Drosophila melanogaster: one gene and its partner. Changing the gene in region 1 together with any one later gene gives a genetic interaction. Each region holds a gene or a part of one and is shown in the gene's direction. Other genes may lie near its edges.

Region 1 (3,863 bases):
CCATGTTAATAGTTGCATACGACGAATTTGAAACCCAAGTTAACCAGTTAACGAAATAGCAAACAAAAATGAAATCAAGGGATCTTGTACGAGATGCGCACAAAATCCCCCCTACATATATATTCAAATATTAATCTTGTAGTACGCATTATATCTATTTCGTAGTTGTTCCATTATATCTCTCATACATACACAATATGCCTTTCTACTGATACTAAGCCCCGTACTTCTCCTGTGCATTATTATAGCCTGCTGAGCGCAACAATCAGTTTTACGTTTGTATTTCGGATTTCTTTGGAAATTGTACTGATTTTTTGCTTTTGATAAGACAATTATGGTTTTTATATACATATATCTATATAAAATGTTATCCTGTATTGATTATGAATCTATTACCATTATGTACTTTAATCAAACAAAATACATTATTAGATTTTTGCGAATTTACTTTCTCAGAGTTGAAGATTTTGGATATTTTGACATCACGTAAGTAGTGCATAAAGAAAACAGGAACGAGTAGAGTATTGTTAAATACCTGATAAAAGGAAAGCAAGCAAATCTAACAAACCCAACAAAATATTTTTAAAAAAACAAAAATTAAGAGTGGAGCTATGGCTTGACTTGACTGTGGATTGGGATTTAGGTGTATAGTTTAGTATTCACAACGTTCACTCACCCAGAGAAGGTATGTTGATACAAAGGGCATGCGATAACTTTAAGTAGGTACGACCAAGCTCATAGGAACAGATTTGCTGTACGTCGCTGATGTCGATGAGGAGATCTGTGAAGATATGAGCAGTCAATAAGCTACTCTTTAGGCAAAATGAATGCACTACTCACGGGAGGTGCCCTCTGTCCTGCAGGTCATGTACACGCAAGCGGCGTAGATGTGGGTGCTCTTCCTACCGCGGGTCAGATGCCTACCCAATGCCATCTTGAAGAAATTCAGAGCAGTATCTGCATAGTGCTGGGATAGCTGCAGCTGCTGGCAGAGTAGTGTGATGTCCTTCTTGGCCTTTTTGATGGTCACCTCGCGGGATTCGGTGCCCGATCCCACCTGAAACTTGCCGTAGCCATAGTTGGTGGCACCGCCCGACGACTCGGCGGACACAAACTGGCCAATTGCGGCTGCTCCATGGCCAACTTCCTCGAACTGCACTTCGGAAACAATGAGGGAATCCTCCAATACCGAGCCGCAGTTCATGCAAACTACAGTGAATGGGTGAACGTCGTTAGTGTCATGGATATGGGTCCTTGGATGTCATTATACCTCGATCTCCGCGAGCATTGTCTTCCTCGATCTCGTTGGATCCGCAATTGCGACATTTTAGGCCCGTAGACATGATTGTTTGTTCTTTGCTTTAATAAACACTGCCACCTGCAACGCTTCGTTTTTATCCGTTGTTTTGACAGTTTAAACTACTTGTTTGCTGTCATTTGAAAGCCATTTTCGAGTCTTTTTTAAACAATTTGCAATTTGTTGCCAATTGAATCAACACGCTTGGAAAACATCTGATTGAACCCCGCCGGCGTTGCTTAACACTGATGATAGAAGAAGAAATGCTAGAGATGCGCATTTCTCAATCAAGAACGACATTGGCACAACTGCTTGAAAAACTTAAAAGAGATATTAAAATTGTAAAAATTACGTAAAGCTGGTTCCAAAAATTATGTTCTAGTTTATTTGGCAAATTATCAATCAATATTTGTTTTTCATTTACATTGGAATATATAATAATACAGGTTTAGCATCGTGTTCTTAGGTGCACATCTCTAGTAGAAATAGTGTTAAAGTGCCGGTAAGGTGACTAAGTATTTTGTTGACATATTGAACAAGTTGGACCAAAAGGAGTATACAGTCATCTTGGACTTAACTTATAAATATTAAGTAAATATTTTAATACATATTTATTTTAAATTTACATATTTATATTTACCGTGTGTTCTTGCTTTTGTAACAGTGTCAAGCTTTGACGTCATATTTAAAGAAAGTCACCCCACTTTGTTCCACCCTGAGCAGCGGAATAAACAACAAGTCAAGTCAGCGTTCAATTTTCGAAAGTCAACTTGAATTAAAAAAAAAGAAAAGCCGGTCAAAATATATCAGTCATGGGCGATGCTGATCGTGCGATGAACGAACCAGAAGCCGCGAAAACTGTGTCCGGAATCCAGGTGATTCCCGCCGAGGATGTGGCTTCCATTGAGGATATAATCACAATCGATCCGGACTGCTACGAGCTTGATCTGAATCATCGCCGGATCGAGAAGCTGGAGAACTTCGAGCCGCTGACTCGAATCGAGCGCCTGTTTCTGCGCTGGAATCTGATCAAGAAAATCGAGAACTTGTCCAGCCTGAAAACACTGATTGAGCTGGAGCTGTATGACAACCAGATCACCAAGATTGAGAATTTGGACGACTTGCCCCACCTGGAGGTGCTGGACATTAGCTTCAATCGTCTGACGAAGATAGAGAACCTTGACAAGCTGGTCAAGCTGGAGAAGGTCTACTTTGTGTCGAACCGGATAACCCAAATCGAGAACCTGGACATGCTCACCAATCTGACCATGCTAGAGCTGGGGGATAACAAACTGAAGAAGATCGAAAACATCGAAATGCTCGTGAATCTACGACAGCTCTTCCTGGGCAAAAATAAGATAGCAAAGATCGAGAACTTGGACACATTGGTCAATTTGGAGATACTCAGTCTACAGGCCAATCGCATTGTAAAAATCGAGAACCTTGAAAAGCTTGCCAACCTCCGCGAACTCTACGTTTCGGAAAACGGAGTGGAAACCATTGAAAACCTCTCGGAGAACACCAAATTGGAGACCCTCGACTTGGCCAAGAACCGGTTGAAGGGCATTGCCAATCTGGAAAAGCTGGAACTGCTCGAGGAGCTGTGGCTGAACCACAACGGAGTCGATGACTGGAAGGACATTGAGCTGTTGAAGGTGAACAAGGCGCTGCAGACCATCTACCTGGAGTACAATCCGCTGGCCAAGGATGTTCGCTACCGCTCCAAACTGCGCGACATACTGCCGCAGCTGCAGAAGATTGATGCCACCCTGTGCAAGGTGCCCGGTACCTAGATGGAACCACTGTAAACCCCTTGAAAGACTAATCCACGGCGTTGCGCCACTACATTTATATCGATTAACTTTGAAAAACTGCGTTTAAAATATACATACAAATTAACCACTAATGGTTCTATCTACGAATTGGTGGGTGCAGTGATTTAGTTTGCTTTCAGAAGAAGGTATATTTGGATAAGTTACTCAAAGCGTGAAGTTTACCTAATGAGTCAGATAAATTATCCATCTAGGCTACCGCCTAACATATAAAACTAAAAAGTATTTTATATATACACATAAATAATGTAAATTGAATCTAAAAAGATGAAAACATTTTAGTTAAACAATTCTGGTTTCTCTTAAACCAAAACAATACATTTCAGTATGTCAGAGTACATTCAACGGAATGTATTTTTATTTATATCAAAGTTATTGTTCTATCGATTGAAATCACAGAGCTCAACTGATAAGTGGCTTTCATAAAGGCCTTTGTCTTCATTCTTTCCCTTTGTGGCAGACATGTTGTGCAAATATGCTTATCATTTCATTTTTTGACAAAGTATATGAGGCGTCAGTTGGATTGCTTTTGGAGGAGTTCATCAATTCGAAACAGCGTAATAGTCAGAGGCGCTCACTTTATGAGGACCTCCATAGAAGTCCAGAACAAAGATATTGCTAATTTCCAGTTCGCAAAGGTAGAAATTGTGAGCTGTAAAAGAAACAACGTATTTATTATTAGTACATACATATCGAGCTCTTAATGAGGTTCGCTTTCACCAACCTTTTACCCA
Region 2 (3,600 bases), on another chromosome or scaffold:
CCGTGTGCATAGAGTAGATGAAAAGTGTATTTTTGAGAGGTCAGGCTGCCCTATGGCCACCGAACGAATGGACGAAATAAAGTTGCTACAGTTCCACAGTACATCAGTGGTCTGTTTTTGTTGTTTTACTCTGCTTGTTACAAGGTGGCCCGCTTGCTGTTGGGCAGAGCATCGCCCTCGTCATCGCTGCGATCCGCACGTCGCCGCTTCTTTTGGTGCTCCTCGACCAGCTCCGAGGTGCGAATCTTGTTGCCCGTCATCTGCAGCCATTCGATGTACTGAAATTATGTGATTAATATAACACTCCGTGCCCACTTGACTGGTAGTACAGCCACCCACCTGACTGTTGGTGCGCACTCCAGCCTCGTGCAGCTTGGCCTCGATGTTATCCAGTCGATGCTCCGCCTTGGCTGCCTGTCCGTCGCTCTTCGAGATGTCCAGGAGATGACGTACCCTCTGGCGCAGCGTTTCGAAGATGATGCGGCCGATGACATGGTTGCGATCGTAGGGCGTCAGATAGCGACCGAACTCGTAGAAGTACGGGTGCAGGCGTCCCAGCTCGATGTGCGTGGTCTCCGCCTCGCAGACGGCCTTATGCACATTGCGATAGATATCTGGCACGGCGACGGTGAAGTAGGCATTGTTTACCTTCAGCTCCTTGATGTACCACAACGGCAGATTGACCGTCCTGCCGGGCTCCAGGTCATCCGATTCCGCGCCGGAGTCCAGGAATCCTGCAAGCAACTCAATATTGTCGGATTACTGGCCAGAATGTGCGTGTCCGTCCAAGCCAATCACTTACCCATCCGCTGCAGCTTGGTGTTCACCCGACATTCCACCTTCTCCTGGGTCACGAATATGTCCTCGATGGAGTAATAGTTCGGAAAATAGTTCATTCCGTTCATTGCGCGGCCCAGCTTTATGATTCGTTTGGTGTTTACTTTAGGTAAATTCAATTTCTTAAGTGCGCGACCTATCGCCTATCGATATTAGATGCATTTTGCCGGGGTCTATCGAGGCAGAAACAGCTGTTTGCCTGGATGCCGAGGCACTCGATAGGTTTTATGTACTATATATATCGAAGCATTTATATGTATTATATGTAAATAGTTTTTCCGGAAAATTACTCTTATTTCAGCGCGAATTTTAAATTGCAGCCTGCACTTGACATTTTTTTATACATAAAATTACTAGTCAGGGTATAATTACTCAAAGTTGTAAATGATGTGGAACATGTGAACTCAGCTTAGTAATAGTAATTCGATACGATTGCAATTAGATGGTTACTTCTTCCGCAAGTTCTTAGGCTTATCTGCATCTTTCAAAAACAAATAAAAATAAAGGTTTCGTTCCCGGCAATGACTATTTTGACTTCAATTTCGAACAATTGATCTTAATCTAGCCGTATGATCATCAAGTCGTCGATAAAGTCGCCCATATTAAAAATCATCAATCCACTTGAGATCAAAAATAGCAAAGCCGCGTGCTTCGAGTTTTTCTTGTTGGCGACGAGGAACGGACAGATGGTCGAAAGAGCCATTTCGATTTAGCTATGTGTGTGCAAGGATTAGAGAAATGTGTGTGTAGTTAATATCAGTTAATAACGAAATCATAGGGAGCACACAACTTGTTCGGTCGAGATTTGAGTTCACAGTAAGAAGTTTGAAGGCACGAGCGTTGAAGTGCGAAAAAGGACTTTGACAGTTAACTCCCGCGTTGCTGAGCACTGGCTGGCTTCGTTGCCCATCGGACTATCGATAAAGTCGAACTGTAAAGCCGCCGCCACCAAAAACTTTTTCAGCCTTCCGGCAAACGGTCATACTCAGCTAGCTGTCCGACGAGTTTTGTTATTGGCGGAGAAAAGATTACGCTGGTTTATAAATTCTCAGTTAAGCCGATTTCTCAGCTCCTCTCCCCCTGCAGAGATCTAACACATCTATATAGATATATATATTTTATATATTCCTTGATCGATTTGCGATCCCGAAAGTCGATCAGCCGTGCGTCTATATATTTTTTTTTCTGTTCTTGCCCCTCGTGCAACATCAGTGAACATCAGCGGCCCACCGTACAAAATCTCAATAAGAAAAAAAGAGAGCATAAAGTGAAATTGCCTTTTGCGGCAAGTAAGAAAACGACCAAAAAAGAGAAAAGAATATAACGACTATTTGAATTAAACAAAGTTTATTGTTTACAATAGCATACAATACAAGTTTATAAGCTAACGGGCGTCGCTGTGCGTGTGTGTGTGCTTGTGTGTGCGTGCGTGTAGTTGTTGCGCCAAAAATTCCAATCGGAATTCTGGAACAGCTGGCCACAACAACAAAACGCGGCCAATAGAAGAACAATTTAGCTGCTGAAAAATGGGCGACTTCGATCTGAATGTGGACAGCTTGATACAGCGGCTGCTGGAGAGTAAGTAGATGCGAAATTTCCCCCTCTTTCAATCCTACTTTCCCAAAACCTCCCCCCCAAACCCTCTACGCCCCTCCCACGCCACTGTCCCCATTTTAATTTATTACACAGTTTATCTGCGTGTGTGTGTGTGTGCGATTGCATTTTCTAATTATTGCACATTGTTCGCTTAAATGGTAGTAGGTTTTCTTTTTGTTGTTGCGACAGCCCCTCTCTCTACCGCCGCCGCCGCCACCGCTGCTGCCGCTGCAACCGTTTGAATTTGACTCTTGAATCAATTAGTTTTAATTGATTTTCATTGCTCCTCTTGAAAAACAGCAAAAACCATAAAAACAACAACAACAACAGCGACAGCATCTACGCTACGCTCATTAGCGTTTACATAATACTAACAGTGATCGCGCTGTTAAGCACGCCATCTCTGTCCTGCGCTAATGTCTCCCAAATGATTTTTGGTTTATTAGCTGTGTTTTTTCTTGTTTCGCCTATATTGGCAATGACGTCATCGAGCTGATAAACACGGGCGTGATTCAAACAGAATGTGTAGCTATGAAATCGCCGACGAAGGAATGGAACGGAATCACATGAGTTACTCGATAAGGAGCTTTGTCGCAAGTAACCCCACTGCCCGTTGGAGTGGGATCGCTGTTCGTGTCACGCAACTATCGCTAAAGACGGTTGAGAAATCTACGACCGATATATCCTATATTTCCTAGCCCCCAAGAAGATATTTTTATCCAGCGATCAATATCAATATAATTTTTACTGGGTATCGACCGCTATAGCCGATATCCACTGTATGTGGCTTAGAATGGGTGGTGGGGGCTGTGTCATCGTCGTCATCATGCAACCTTCCTGCAAAGCGTAAAAGCGCTAAATAGTTTACATTTTTGCAACCTCTTCTAGGTTTCGAATGCGATATGCCTTTGCCCTGGTGAAAACCCAACATCTGCGAGGGTTGCTTAAGCCGCTTAGTGCTTGTCTCGTTTTGCAAGTGTCAGCCAATGTCGAAGATACGGCATGGGACGGGATGGGCTTTTCCGCTTTTCCGGGGGGCGGGCCGCCGCCACCATTTGGCTTTAGCTCTGACCGACGCCACGGGGAAATTGCATTTGAACATTGCGATTTTCGGTTTTTGTCCATTTCCGCAATGAGTTTCGCTTTTCTTCCTCCGATTCTGTCTTT

What was found.
Region 2: of sds22 (region 1) and flw, changing one suppresses a phenotype caused by changing the other (phenotypic suppression), as found in Drosophila melanogaster (one study listed by BioGRID).

What each region holds. Positions count from the first base shown.
Region 1 is NT_033777.3:17,389,820-17,393,682, forward strand, and holds sds22 (sds22), read left to right. Parts: upstream 1-1,774; 5' UTR 1,775-1,888; intron 1,889-1,937; exon of another isoform or gene 1,938-1,961; 5' UTR 1,962-2,109; coding exon 2,110-3,090; 3' UTR 3,091-3,201; downstream 3,202-3,863. Other genes in the region: Brf RNA polymerase III subunit, read right to left, coding at 677-781, 841-1,209, 1,271-1,343; CREG (cellular repressor of E1A-stimulated genes), read right to left, coding at 3,672-3,781, 3,854-3,863.
Region 2 is NC_004354.4:10,384,149-10,387,748, forward strand, and holds the start of flw (flapwing), read left to right. Parts: upstream 1-1,811; 5' UTR 1,812-2,363; coding exon 2,364-2,415; intron 2,416-3,600. Other genes in the region: Psf3 (partner of Sld five 3), read right to left, coding at 138-278, 340-734, 803-905. UniProt on the Drosophila melanogaster protein: Required for cell adhesion in non-muscle tissues and in maintenance of muscle attachment. Vital for larval development.